2 linked regions of the Arabidopsis thaliana genome follow. The protein of the gene in region 2 interacts with the protein of the main gene of each other region in a pairwise test. Each region holds a gene or a part of one and is shown on either strand. Other genes may lie near its edges.

The links. The genes of interacting proteins can lie anywhere in the genome.
Region 1: the proteins of AT4G23030 (region 2) and CAT4 interact in a protein complementation assay, tested with the Arabidopsis thaliana proteins (one large-scale study listed by BioGRID).

Annotation. Positions count from the first base shown.
Region 1 is NC_003074.8:923,432-932,642, forward strand, and holds CAT4 (cationic amino acid transporter 4), read right to left. Parts: upstream 6,572-9,211; 5' UTR 6,270-6,571; coding exon 6,161-6,269; intron 6,075-6,160; coding exon 5,873-6,074; intron 5,793-5,872; coding exon 5,708-5,792; intron 5,478-5,707; coding exon 5,337-5,477; intron 5,249-5,336; coding exon 5,130-5,248; intron 5,044-5,129; coding exon 4,947-5,043; intron 4,748-4,946; coding exon 4,575-4,747; intron 4,457-4,574; coding exon 4,390-4,456; intron 4,239-4,389; coding exon 4,080-4,238; intron 3,858-4,079; coding exon 3,653-3,857; intron 3,522-3,652; coding exon 3,413-3,521; intron 3,120-3,412; coding exon 3,007-3,119; intron 2,743-3,006; coding exon 2,667-2,742; intron 2,587-2,666; coding exon 2,439-2,586; 3' UTR 2,125-2,438; downstream 1-2,124. Other genes in the region: RIF10 (polyribonucleotide nucleotidyltransferase), read left to right, coding at 96-168, 293-366, 455-562, 646-740, 817-934, 1,024-1,065, 1,164-1,475. UniProt on the Arabidopsis thaliana protein: Permease involved in the transport of the cationic amino acids.
Region 2 is NC_003075.7:12,070,074-12,076,455, reverse strand, and holds AT4G23030 (MATE efflux family protein), read right to left. Parts: upstream 3,697-6,382; 5' UTR 3,600-3,696; coding exon 2,091-3,599; 3' UTR 1,876-2,090; downstream 1-1,875. Other genes in the region: AT4G23040 (Ubiquitin-like superfamily protein), read left to right, coding at 1-123, 298-441, 528-584, 677-784.

The sequences.
Region 1 (9,211 bases), on a different chromosome or scaffold from region 2:
TTCTTAATTTACACTACCGAAATGGTTTTAAATGGCAATTGAATTAATATGTTGGTAACATCTTTTCTTACTTCTTCTCTTTAATCATGAACTAGGTAGGAGGAATTACTTTAGAGATAATGGAAAAGGCTCTAATACAGGCAAAAGCTGGGCGTCGCCATATTCTTGGTAAGGAATGTTATTCATGAATTATTAGTCTCAAGATAGTAGACTTGGGGAGATTTAGTTCCTTGGAAAATGTATGCCACAAAAGATGTAATTTACTATATTTTTTTTTTTCCTTTTTGTGCAGCTGAAATGGCAAAGTGCTCACCGCCTCCCACGCTAAGCCTCTCAAAATATGCTCCATTGATACTTATTATGAAGGTTTGGCTTCAACTAGTTTTTCCAGGATTGCCCAGTCTAATGCCTTTCTGCCTTGAACTAAAGATTGTTGGCGTTTCATGTGCTGCAGGTTCATCCAAGCAAAGTATACTCTCTTATTGGTTCTGGAGGTAAGAAAGTAAAGAGCATCATTGAAGAATCTGGAGTTGAGGCCATTGACATGCAAGATGATGGAACTGTGAGATATACATGCAAAAAAATGTGATTTTATATTTATTGGGTATTCTTTATCCTAACTTCTTAATATTTATCTTTGTCAAGGTCAAAATTATGGCAATTGATGTAGCGAGTCTAGAAAGGGCGAAAGCGATTATTAGTGGATTGACAATGGTTCCCTCTGTTGGTGATATCTACAGGTATGTATCCTTCATATACCTTCTCTGACCAAAAAGCGTAAATAGATTTGGATTCTTACCTTTCTTTTTGTATCAGGAATTGTGAAATCAAGTCAATGGCTCCTTATGGTGCATTTGTAGAGATAGCGCCTGGGCGGGAAGGTCTTTGCCATATCAGTGAGCTGAGTGCTGAATGGCTTGCAAAACCAGAGGATGTGAGCATTACTCATTGATTCCCTTCCTTTATAGAAATTGTTTCATCTTTTATTCAGGTTTTCACATACGCTCATTCTTGTCCTTTCAGGCCTATAAAGTAGGAGACCGCATTGACGTCAAATTAATAGAGGTCAGCGAGTTATTGTGTCTTTATAACTCAAGAGACAATATAACTAATCGGAAATGATAATTAGAGAGTTGTTGAACAAAGAAACATGGATAATGCAGGTAAATGAAAAGGGTCAGCTTCGACTTAGTGTACGGGCTTTACTTCCCGAATCAGAGACAGACAAAGACAGTCAGAAACAACAGCCGGCAGGTGATTCTACCAAAGACAAGAGTTCGCAAAGGAAATATGTAAATACTTCGTCAAAGGACCGTGCAGCTGCAGGAGCATCAAAGGTTTCATCTGGGGATGAACTTGTCCTGAAGAAGAAAGATGTAAGGAGAGCAACTGGTGGTAGTAGTGACAAGACAATGAATAGCAATAGCAGTACCAACGAAGAAAGTTTAGTCAACGGTGAAGCTACAATCAGCTAGTGGAATGCAAACAAGATCACTGTTCATATCTGTGTCTCGTGAGACTCATTACGAAAGGAGGAGAGTTTCTTCCAACGGAACCACAGGTGCGACTTGAGAAATCTTGAAAACTTGAGACAAGACAAGTTGCAAATGTCTTTTCTTGATTTTTTTTCTAATGTTTTGTAATTATGTTTCTTGGCAGTTTCTTGAAGCTGTGCATATATGTTGGCAAGTCTGGTGTGGAGGAGGATAACATTTTTGAAGACGTCATATGTTGGGAGATTCTCAGACATTTCATCAGTTCTTTCTGTTGTCTTCTCTCTTGCAAACTCATTAGTCCGTTTAGGTTACTTGATATATTAATGTTTTTGACTAAATTTTATTTGGGATAGATGATTTTTCTTCAGCTTGTCAAAGTTTCCCAATTTTTGTTATGTTTCGAGTTATTAGATGGACTTGGCAACTTCAAGAGTTTTAAAGATCACTTAGCTAAGTGAAGAAAACTATATAACTGGATACATTTCACAACAAGAGCACATATATTTCTAAGCCTGTACAAGCAACAACAGCTTGAGGTCGAGTCCCTTTAACTGCTGCATTGAACCGCCCATATTAAGCAAGATGATCTGCAACTTTTAAATGTTCTTGCACTCTTTATCTGCAGAGTATCAAAGTTTCCCAGTTTTTGTTATGTTTCGACTTACTAGATGGACTTGGCAGTTTCAAGATCATTTAACCAATATTGGCAAACTTTATAACTGGAAATGGAAAAAGGAATAAAACATGAAATTGGCATTTAAGAGATATACATTGGCTTGTGTACATGAAAATGGAATGACTATCAATGTACATAAAATGTTGTTGTATATATTGGCTTGTGTTTACTCTTGTGCCAAACTGTTTAATTCTCTTTAGATGCTACTTCAGCAACAACAAAGCTTGAGCTCGAGTCCCTTTAACTGCAGCATTGATCCACCAATCTTAAGCAAGATGATCTGTTGTTTTTCTCGTACAAGTCATTGTGGGAACGTAAACCGCATTGTTCAGTAAGCTGTGAGATCGGCCATAGAAGATATAGATCATGCTTCCAATAAGTAGCCATATCAAGACCCTGATCCATGTCCCAGCTCTGCCATTACAAATAACCAGCAAGGGTTTAGAAACATCCCAATATACTGAATCATACATGGGTCCATCAGACTAACTCACCCAATGTTGATGATCAAGTAGGTGTTGATCAAAATGCAAAGAACTGGAAGGTATGGGACGAATGGGCAGAGAAACCCTGAAATAGAATCATATATAGAATGCCAGTTAGAAAACGCTGCTCAAGTATAAATCCAAGTTTATGGTTTTTGCTAAAACCTCAAAATTTTCGTCCTAACCAGGTAATAACCAACTCAGCAAGAAACTAATAACTAAGCAGCGTTTTTGATGAAAGTAAGACCAACCAATTGATGGCTCGCTGAATCTTATATTCAATTAAACTTCTCATTTTGTGATGTATGAGTAGGCAAAAAAAAAGGCTTGAATAAGGTTCAGGCCTTACCTCCTTTGTGTCCAAAGTTGTGCCTTTCTTCATCCTCGTCAATGTAGCCAAGAGTAATCAAACTGCCAAGCAAGATGACTGCACTGACACCACATATAGTGAAACGAGGAAAACTGCAAAAGTCAAGAAATAACCCATTAGAGTTCATAACCATATTACAAAGATAATAACATGCAAATCTTTCAACACAGCAAGTTGAAAAGTGCTTCACAAAATTCTGAAACAGGAATGCATTTTCTAATTGAGCATACTTAACCGCTTTGACATGCAAGTAGCAGTGATATCGTTCACAGCTAATCAAGCATCTCAACCAAACTAAATAGATTTGTTTAGTAGACATAATTAGATGTGGGGAATATATGCAGGACGGGTTATACAGACATAAGATATCAGATGATGAAACGACCTTGGAAGACGCTCAGCTGAAGCTGCTGAAGCAAGACCTAGGACACCTATGCACACAAGAGCTATACTCCAGGCAGCAATTTTTCTCCTCTTTCCAAAATACTTTTCATCTGTTCAATTAAAAAGAAGCAAAAAAGTCATATTTCTTAAATGCAGATAAAAGGCAGAAAAGATTGAATTGTTGGATGTATCTTTACAACATATCCAAATGGTAACTACGTGATTGAGCACATTTTAGTACCTCGAGCAGTTTCATTTCCAAGTAGAGGGGAATCAGAAGATTCTATAGCATCCACAAGAAAATTTTCAGTTTCAGCTCTACTTTCATCGGTATCACTCAAAGTTTGGGAGGAAGATGATAGGGGAACTCCATCTGGTGGTACATATCTAAGAACTAGCACACAGACTGCAACGGCAGTGAATGCCATTAGAGTGCCTACACTAACCTGTTGGATAAATTACCGATGTGAGCTACTCAGAGAAGGATCTGTTACCGTAATAGAGTGTGTTTAGGCGTGTCTCAACTAAATTATATAATACTAACTGCTTCAACAATATCAAAACTATACTACTAATAATGAACCCTCAATTTTCTGTTTGCCACTAATTGTAGGTGAAAATCCTTCCTTAAGACTTGAGACATGTAATGTAGGCAAATACCAGCTTACCATCTCGGACAACTGTGCAACATCCATGAAAAATGCGAGTGCAGCGGCAAGAACACCAATAGCTATTGTGCTTTTCACTGGTACTTGAGTTCGTGGGCTAATTTCTGAAAAGAAAGCTGGCAACAATCCATCCCTAGCCATTGCCATGAATATTCGTGGCTAATAAAAAAAAAATACAAAGCTCTGTCAAAACGACATGTAAGCATTTCCAAAACCCACACAGAACCAGCATGTTACTTTTACTACTAAGATATCTCAATTACAAAATCTCTTGAACTTGGATTTTCAGAACGATAGAATTGGTTAGTACCTGAGCCAGAAGGGAACCCAACAAACTCGCACATAGAGCAGTTATTGCCCCAGTGGTTAAGATGTACCTGAAATATATAGGAATAATAAGAAAAAAAAAAGCAAAGACAAAAGGAAGTATGTGTATATGCATCGTGACTAATTAATACAAAGAAATTTGAGTGTCAAGAGATGTATCATACTTACGCTGCCCATTGCATCCCACTGTCTCCAAATGCAGAGGAGATAGGAGTATCAGGATTCAATGAATAGTATGGGACCAATCCAACAATAACTACTGATAAAAGCATATACAAAATGCAGCATATCAGTAATGCAATCCCGATTCCCAATGGAAGATCCCTTTGAGGATTTTTCACCTGTTGTGGCAATACCAAAAGGTTAAGAGCTTAACAGAGAAAATCGCCAGAATTATGGAAAAAAAGTTCACTATACTAAGACCAAAAATCATCCTTTATTACTAGTTCTATATGGAATCGTCAAAGTGAGTCCTTTGTAGAGAAAAGAGAAGGATAATAAATCAAAAAGAATGAGAGTATTATTCAATAAACTGTATACCTCCTCAGCCGTACTAGTTACAGTATCAAATCCAATGTATGAGAAGAATACTACAGCAGATCCGGCAAGTATCCCATTTAGTCCAAAAGGAAAGTACCTGTAAAGACAAGTATTAAACATTGACTTTAAGAAATAACTTTTGACAAAAGCTACGCTCAATGGAGAAGAGAACAGGCTAATTACCCACTGGGGAGATCATATCCAACCCATCCAGTCTTGCAAGCTAAATATCCACCAACTACTATGATGAAAACCAAGGTGCAAACATTCACTGATGTTACAATTGCTTGTACTGTTGAACTCTGTAAGAACAAAATAACCCGGTATAACACTATTAGACGATCTGATAATCCTGAAATGAATCCATTTAAAATGTCTTCAATAAAGTACCTCCTTTATCCCAAAACATAGTAGTATCGTGACAATCATAATCAAAAGTGCAGCACATGGATCAACCACAATACCAACCCCGGGTATAGTTTGTCGAGCTAAGAACACAGGAAGATTGTCCAAACCACCAAAAAAAGATGCCTAAAACAAAAGAAACACCAGTCAGAATTAAATCAACAAAAGACCACAAATACATATATTTTTTTTTTGAAAATAATGTTAAATTATATTCCAAAGAAAAACGTTTTTACAACAAGTGCATCTTGGGTTTGAGAATTAGAGCTGAGAATAGTTTTGAAAAAAGAAAGAAAAGGAGCTAAGTGATTAACTTCTTGACTGAAACCAAACACATATAACTCAAAGGCAAATACCAGATTTGGAGTTATGCCACGGGCAATGGCTGATCCACCAATTGTATAATCCAACACCAGTGCCCAACCAACCAACCAAGCAATCCTATGAAATAAGAAAATCCATGAGTATCAGCTTTAAGACGAACAACAAGGTCAATCCTATTAAAATCCATATATATATACCCTTCTCCAAGACAAATGTACGCATAATGATAAGCACTCCCAGCAGATGGACAACGAGAAGCAAGCTCAGCATAACAACAGGCAGAGAGAGCAGCAGCTACTCCAGCAATGAAGAATGATACAGCAAGAGCAGGTCCTGTGTGCTCTCTAGCTACCGTTCCCACAAGAATATACACTCCTGCTCCAATTGTTGTCCCAACTCCTGACAAATTAACACCGAAAGGAACACAATCAACACCCATAAGGAATTTTGATCAAAATTGGCCAAAGCTTGAAGCTTTCTCATACCAATAGCAACAAGATCAACGGCGGATAGTTTCTTGGCAAGCTGATGAGGTCCATCGTTTTTGATAAGATGAACAGAATCAACTTGTTTTCTTCTCACAAGACTGTTCATATCAACCAACTTTGCAGAGTCCACACCGGTTTGATTTTCCAATCGATTCAGAGCAAACCCATCTGAGTTTTTCCCAGAAAATCCAACAAAGATTGAAATTTTTTCTTCTACAGAATCCACCAGATGGAGTATCGGAGCCGGAGATAACTCGAGAGGCGTGCACGATTCCAACTTTTGTGAGATTCTCGTTGGTAAAGATTCTTCAAAGTTTAGATGACTTTTGTGATTTTGTTTATTTCTTCCTTTTTATTAACAATTGGGCTAATTTGTGCAATGGGCAACTCTTGATTCATGAATTCTCTATCCTAAGAGATTTATCTGCACCTCAGCTTAAAAACAGATTAACAGATTTTACTTTTTTTACAATGTCACAGTAAAAATTGATGGACATGTGGATCTTCTCTTTACCAAAAACAGAACGGTAATGTAAATTATAACAGATTACGCCCAAATGTTATAGACAATCAATAATCACCCGTCTAATCTCCAATTCATCAATCCTTTAGTCCAAAACACTTGAATATATAAAAAAGAAAAGTTGCAACAAATCTTGTTCCAGTACAAAACAAAAGAAAATACTCCAAACTTTACCAAGAGACAAAACTTGATTTAGGTTTGAAGCAACTATTTAAGAACCATCGAGCAGAAGAGAAAGATATTGGAGACGAAGCAGTAAGAGCTGGTTGATACACTTGGACCACTTTCTTGGTTTTAATATGGTATACGCTAATACCGCTTTCAGCATTGCGTACAAACCTCCTCCTAGGTCGATAAGGCGGGTCAGCATAAAAATATATGCAATTTTTCATAACTCCATCTTTGGCTGCAACAGTTATTCCTAGATCAAAAATAAATGCTTCGTCTCCTAAAGAATTGGTTCTGCTCCATTCTAATGATTTAGGATCCATCTTGTAGACACCCCCACTGTGTATAACGATCAAAACTTGTCCTGACAAAGTCACAGCAAGATTCTTGCCGCAAAACGAATCATTACCATAATTCGGAGATTTGAAACTTGCACATTGTATTGGAGAAGCATCAGCGTGGGAGAAATCAAGAACAGTGACGTGAGTATCAGTAAGCACGTAAAGCTTGCTTTCTTTACACACCATATCCACGCATCGTTGATTCATTAAAGGTTGAATCACTTTCCAGTTATTCTTGTCATCTCCTTTCTTGTGATATGCAAAAAAGCCATCATAATTCCAAACAACTAAGTAGTCTCTGGTTTCTTCATCTACCCACAAAACAGCTTTGCCTATTCTAAGACACATGACCATATGTGAAGTTTTTTTTTTTTTTTGCAGAATTGTTTTGGTCATTGAGAGTCACCCAAAAATTATTATTATTGATTCTCCAAAATTCTATCGGACATCCATCGGTTGCACCCAGACAAGGAAGATAAATCCTCTCTCGAGTAAACAGATTCAAGAGATGAAAATCGTTTCTATGGTCTAACATAAGGAACCATCTACCGGAACTGGCCAAACAACGACTACTAGCTAGATCAAACCCGACATCTCTTAAAGTGTAGCAACTATGGTCACGAGGATTGAACAACTTACATGATGAATTTTCTTTCCAATCTGTGTTGTATGGAAACATTATGATCCATGGAGTTGTTACTCTGATGCACGATTTCGAGGCGTAATACCATTCTGAAGAAATGCATCTGGCTCGATGAAAATCAGAGAATCTCAAGCGATCCAAGATCGATATAACCAGGTCTCGGACAAGTGTCGGCTGCTTTGGATCGTCGTTGCATGTCTTTTCCTCGGACTCACTCATCTAGGGTTTGTCTCCTGCTTCTTCTAATCAAGATACTTATATATGTTTGTTCATTTTTATTTCTTTTTGGTTAATTTCTTAAAATAAATGAATTTATTGGAAATAAATATATCTGAAAATGTTTTTATATTAAAAAAAAATACATAAAGACTTTATAATACGGTACGGTGCACTAGTTTGTTATATTGAAAATGATCAAGTACATTTGGTCCATGTTAAGTCGGTGAGAATTAATTTCCAAATCAAATTTTCAGTACTCTACACAAGTTAGATTATAAAATGATGCTTTCTTTCTTGATCGGTTTTGAGAATCAGTCTTTTGGCAATTTGATATAGCTAATGACTTGTTAAGCTCATGATCAACACTTAAACCCATGGAAGAAATGTTGGTGGGAACTAAAAGCCAAATTTATCTACAAAAACAAAACCATCTTAAGAGGATTCGTTGTTGATATTGAGTACGATTTTTCAAACTTTTCTAAGTCCAACACACTTGAATATAAAAGAAAACTTGCAAACACTCTTGTTCCAAGAGAGACAAGAAAATACTGTAGCCTTACAAAAAAGACAAAACTAGATAGTTTTAAAGCAACCATGCATCACACCCTAAATTTCTCCTGGATGAGGATCTCAAGAGCATTCACATGGTCGTGGAGGTATAAGTCCAAAAGTGCTTTGGTTTTGAATGAGTTTTCAAAAAATCCAAGCATGGTGGTTTAAACATCCTGCAACAAATAAACCAAGCTTGTTTAATTGCCGACAAGTGTATTCAATAGAAATTTTTTAAGAGTTATATATTACCCTCCAAGAGTTTTTCTAATCAAGTGTTGGAAATGGTGGCCAACTTTTTGACTTCCCATCCTCTCAGAAATCTCCTAAAAAATCATCAATAAAAAAAGTTTACAAGTCGGCTTATTTATTTTTATATATATATAATCGATTAATATTGTATTACCTCAAGCTCATCTTTTTTCATCGTGGCAAGACCACACCATGCCGTGTACATGAACAAATCCTCCCAAGTAAAGAGGTCAAAAGAGTTTTTTGACCACTTGGCATAGCATTTGACCAAATGCGCAAACTGCGAAAACAATAAATATTGATGAATATAAGTTATACCAAACATAATTATAAACAAAACATAAATATATCTA
Region 2 (6,382 bases):
CTGGAAGCTGACAGGGTAAAAGCTGAGGCTCGTCGATTGGAGGAAGAAGCTGCTAGAGTGGAAGCTATTGAAGAAGCAAAGAGAAAGGAGGAAGAAGCTCGCAGGAAGGTCGAAGAGGAACAGGTGTGCTTCTGGTTATACATGAGTCACTCTAATCCCGTGTGTGAACTAGTTAGGACTAGCATCGCTACTAGGTTTAAAGTATCATAGATACTAAGCTGTATGCAGTACTTGGATGAGTTTCCTCAAATTCTTGAAAGTTATCTCGCGTGTAAGCCAATTTATTTTTCTTACTAGGAGCTGGAGAGGCAATTAGTTTCAAAGGAAGCATCTCTGCCTCAAGAGCCACCAGCCGGGGAAGAGAACGCCATTACACTTCAAGTCAGGCTGCCAGATGGCACCCGTCATGGCCGCCGGTTCTTTAAATCCGACAAACTCCAAGTAAATATCCCAAAACCAGCTTCAATTATCCTCAAATATATGAAAAACCTTAATAACCACTAATCATGTCTTCTTCTTATTTGCAGTCACTTTTCGACTTTATAGACATCTGTAGAGTTGTGAAGCCCAACACTTATAGGCTGGTAAGTGGTTTATGCCATAAAATGCTAAATAAAAATTTTCATTTGAGACATCTTTTAGTTGATTTGATAAACTCTTGTGTGATCAAAAACAGGTAAGGCCATATCCTCGGCGTGCTTTTGGAGATGGAGAATGCTCATCGACTCTAAACGATATCGGTTTAACGAGCAAACAAGAAGCATTGTTCTTGGAGCTGATCTAGAATTGGTATTATTCTATTGGGGTTACATAATTTATTCTTTTATATGTCTTCTTCTTTTTCTTCGTAGAATTTGTTACTCCCTAAACATTTATTGGTCTATTTAATCCAAGGCTGGCTTTTGAAAGTAATTTTTTTTTCTCCACCGATATACATCTTGGTTTGTTGGATGTGCTATTCCTTCTTCACGCATCTCATATGATAGTACTGTGATCGTGGATATCAAATTTACCAGATTTGCAAAATGATATGATATTCTCATCATATTCAAAGTTAAAAGTTTGGGTATAGAAGTTCAAATTTGGTTTCTAAATCATTATAGTGTCATTCAGTTGTGTTAAAAATCTAAATGTAGACAATAATTGAAGGGAGAGTATAAAGAGGAAGTGAGGTGATGGAGAATGAAGGACATTAGAAGCTAATGTTATATAAAAGCAAGTTGGGACAGTTGAGGAAAATAGCTTTGATTTTAGTGGCAAATTCATAACTAATTCTCCTTTCTTCATGTTTCACCTTATGGGCCTTTTTTGTTCCTTGCCACCACACCATGAAGTTTGTTACATTTTTAATAGTCTATAATGCAAAATATCATATTCTTATAATAAGTTATAACCAAGTGGACACAATTTTGTTATTCAGATTTGAACTCTAATTTGGTATTTTGTCACCTCATGTGAATTTAACACCCCAAAGAAAAACATACACTGAAACGGGTCGGGTTAGTGGAAGAAAAGAGAGTAAACGAAGAAGACGACAAAGAGACCGGGTCATTCACGGCGTCGGCTGTCACAAACGACGACCTTGACGGAGACATTAGTATTTTCTCGCCGTCGTCAAAGTTTCACAACTCTTTCCGTTACGTTACTTACACGCGCCTTAAACGTCACGCGCCTATGGAGGACCACTAAACATGGTGTTTAATAATTATTTTTATTTTCTTGTTGCATAAGAATTTCCCGGCAACGAAACCAACTTCTATCTTGTCCTTTAATTGCTTAACCAGATTCATATATATTACACTCGAACCACTTGAAAAGGATAGTTTTATGTTTACACATTCAATTTCTAAAGTCATTCTCATGACAACAAATCACTCCCATGATATTTTTTTTGAAATGACATGAGGTTTAATACTAATAAAGTATATTTTTACAATCAAATCAAATCAACAACATTACATTTTAAAAAAAATCCAATATATATCTCACAACATAAATTTGAAAATCCAACAATCAAATGTTTCCTCCTAGAATAATGAATTAGAAGAGTGTACAATGAAACGAATCTCGTTAGTGCCAATAAATCAAAACTAGAAGACAAGATTTTCTTCTATATCCAAAGAATCCAATAAAAACGGTGTATTACCATCATCTTCATCACCATCACATGATCTAGTCATGAGTTCTTTTGCTCTATGAACCTCAACTTCCCAATCAGTCCTAGCCAACACGACCAGCATCGAAATCAGGCACGAGCCTTGTGCTGCAAATAGACCGAGCCATAGTCCTTTGAAGTCAAACCCGCTAAAGAAACTTAACCATACAGCCACTGGCATTCCCACAAAGTAGAAACAACACAAGTTTATGTTTGCTCCTAACTTAGGTCTCGCACTTCCTCTCAACACTCCACACAATGTGGTCTGAGGACAGTTTCCTAGCTCGCAAAGCCCGATGATCGGTAAAACCATTGAAGTCAACTTCACAATCTCTTCCTCATCTGTGAACAATCTTGCCCAGCAATTCCTCACCATCAAAGCGAAAAACATTGCCAATAAACCTAAACCAAGGCTTAAACTAAGTCCGGTTCTCGCAGCTATCCTCGCTTTATCAGGCTGATTCGCACCTAATTCATTCCCGACACGTGTCGATACGCTGATACTCAGAGAGGAAGGGAAAATGTAGATCAAAGCGGTGGTTTGGATCAAGATTCCCATAGATGCCACGGTTGCTTGCGGGTTAAGTAACAATCCACATAGAAGAATCATGATTTCATACCACCACCACTCTAAACAAACCGAGACGCAGCTAGGGATGGCTAGTTTCATTAGAGATCTCCATCCTTTAAAGCAATCCATTGAGAATCCTCCCCAAGTCTTCTGGTAAACACCGGAAAACACTATGTAGATGATTAGAAACCCTAGGAGATTGACATTAGTCCAGATTGCTCCCAAGGCGACTCCTTTAAGGCCGAGACCGAGAGAAGAAACGAGAAGGTAGTTAATCGGAATGTGGAGTAATACTGCGAAGAAAGCAGAGTAGGTTAGAGGAAGAGTGATCGATTGAGATCGGAGGTAGATACGGATAGGATGTAAAAAAGATTGGAGGATCAGATCAGGGAGAGAGAAGAGGATAAAGATCTCAGCTTGGTTTGAGATTTCTTCGTCTTGTCCGAAGAAGAGAAGGATCTTCTTGATGTTGAGCCAGAGGATAGATATGGGAAGAGAACAGAGGAGAAGCAAAAGTGTGGTTCTTTGCAAAGCAAGGCCTAAAAGTTTGAATCTTTTGGCGCCAAAGGCTTGAACGCAGATGGGTTCCATGCCGATAGAGAGACCGGAGAGGAGAGAGTAACCCGTGATGTTAGCGAAGCCGAGGGCGAGTGAGCCACCGGAAAGAGCAGAGAGATCGTTGAGACGGCCGAGGAAGAGCATTGAGATCATTGAGCGAGAGTAGAGAAGTAAACCGGTTAAGATCAGTGGGAGAGATATTTTGGCGATTGATTTGGCTTCTTGGATCGAAGAGGAAAGGTGGGTCGGGTTCGGATTCGGATCTTGTCGGTGATCTGTTTGGTTCTTGATGATCATCAACAAAGGAGCTGCCATGATTACAGGTTTGAGAGAGAAGAGAGAGACAGAGACAGAGAAAGGAGATGATGAAGAAGGTGTTGTTGATGTGTGAAAGGTGTGTTATAAGTTTGAGATTAAGTCACTAGTTAAGGTTAATAGTGATTAAGGCCCTTAAGGGAACAAGAGAAGTTTTTTGACTCAGAAATTAGTCTTAATTATAACAGAACAATTTTGGCGGTTTATTTGACCGGCCATTATGTCATTTGTTACGACTCCGTCTTAATTCAGAGACACTATTTTATTCTATTTTCATTTGTGGAAAACCAATAAAAAAAGTTTAAAGAAAATATGATTTTTGGATGTCTATTTGGAATCATTTTACTTTCTTCATGTTGATTTGGATTTTTTATATATATAATAGTATTGTTTTTCTTTGGATGTTTATGCAACTCTTTTCTTTTAATCATGGTTACGTTTATTAGGATTTTTGTTTCCATTTGGAGATAAGTTTCCAAGAAAATATTGATATTTGGATGTTTATTAAGAATTTTTTTTATTCACGATTAATTTATTGTCTGTATTTCGTTTAATTTATAGTTAGATACTTAGATACATACATACAATACAACTCAGCATAGAAAGAGTTGAAACTTGAGACGTTTTTGGGATTTCTATTCTTTAAATAATAAACCAGTGTAACAAATTGACTCATGTCGTTTCTTCCTCACTTTTAATAGTATTGAATTTGACCATTATGGGTAATTTTCATGTGCCAAAAAAAAAAAACGAAATGGATTCTTTACAAAATCAAATAAGTAACTGCTCGAAGTAGTAGTAAAGTAGTAAGCTAGTAGGGATGGACACAGATCATATACCAGAAAATTAAGCAGCTATACAGAGAGGTTGGTATCAAGTTGTTACGAAATACTAAGATTTAAAATTTTATGGACCATTTTATATAAAACTTGGGACGATGTTGATGCTTGCAATAAAGTGAGAAGAATTATATAGAATATTATACCTACTTAATGCTTATTTCTAAACTTCAAAACAATTTATTGGACCACTCTATTGATCATATAATCGAGGGGAAAATTATAGTTTGGCAAAAAAAAAGGCTTGCTTTCATAATTAGTTTCAAGAGAACTTAACAGAAAATAATAATTAGTTTAAAGAGAATATTTTTTATTAGTGTTTATTAATTTTGGGATAAGAATTTATTGTTTGTGCATAGATATAATACGATGTCACATGCTTCACCTCTATAGAATGTGGACCATTAATATAGCTTAAGGATGATGGGGAACAAAAATAACATTATCTTATCACGAGCTATGTCGATCGTTTATTATATTATAACAAAAAAAAAAATTAACAACTGTAAATAGAAAAAAATATATATATATAAACTATATGAAATAAAAATAAATACAAATGTAAATATAGAAGTAACAAACAAATATAAATAACATGATAAAAAAATTATAATTTACGTATTTCAGAGATTTTATATTTATATTTTTAGAAATGATTAGGGTTTCCAAGTCAAATTTTCGATCAATTTTCTAAGTTACAACTTACTGTTACTTTGTATATGAACGAAAGAGAATTGATTTCCTTTTGGACTAAAATTGTTGTCAAGTGTTTATTATGTTTTGATTATGTTTTATTTATGTGAAATTTCAGAGTATTTTTTCATTGTATCTTGAATATCAAATATCATTAACAAATTATGTGAAAATTAATTTACGTCGACTTAAAATTAGGTTAAGGTAATCTTGACAAGGAAAAAGGGCAAGGTTATCGAGGAATCTAATAGTGTTTTGGTTAAAATTAACAAATTTTTTTCATTAACACAATTGTGTTCCTAATTCTCATCACACTGTCTATAACGTATTTTCCTATAATCAGTATTACCGCATATACTTAATGGTTGTTCATCCATATGCATTCTAGAAACAATATCTTCATATGATCAAAGTAATTAAACAACAATATCTTGTGAGACAAAAGATGTCATATAGTCAAAAATGTTCAAAAATCTATAATATCCTTGGCATAGAATGAATCAACCCCATAAAGATCCTAAGTAATAGGAGGAATCCTAATAGTCTAATTTATTCATTCTCATGCATGTAACTTTAACTAAACAAACCTTTGTGTCCTGTCGCTTGATAACTTCTGTTTATATGAGATTAACCATTATCCGATAAGCTAAGAGTAAATAAAGTACTCTATACTATTCAATAGCTTAATTTAATACACTTAACGTCTATATATGTATATAGAACCTGTCGTGGGATCTAAGACAGTAAGACATCAATCATCGTATTATCTTATAAAAAAATTACTTAAATGCTCGTGCTTCATTTGGTATATCTTTTAAGTCTTAAGTTTGCAAACATTGAAACAATCATCTGTGTGGATGCTATTTGGTTTGGAATATATTTAACATAAACCCAAAAAAGGCTTACATGCCTTTTGAATCATTTGATAGGATTCTAATGACTTTCTTTAGTCTTAAGCCGAGTTCTTAAGGGCAAAAATTCGTTTATAGATTATTGTCTTGAGAACAAAAAAAATCCATAACCAACTTTTTGTACTTCATATCAATGATTTTGAAAGAACTCTGTAATATTCATATCAAATGATATGCATAGGAACATGAAGGAATTGTCAGACTTGTTAGTCTTATGGAAAGCGGCATGGTGGAAATTGGAAGACATTTTATCGTTTAAATACAATTGGTTTTTCAATAAGTAATAAATATCAGATACTGGTGACAAAAAAGGTCAAAACATTTTTACCATATTTTATTT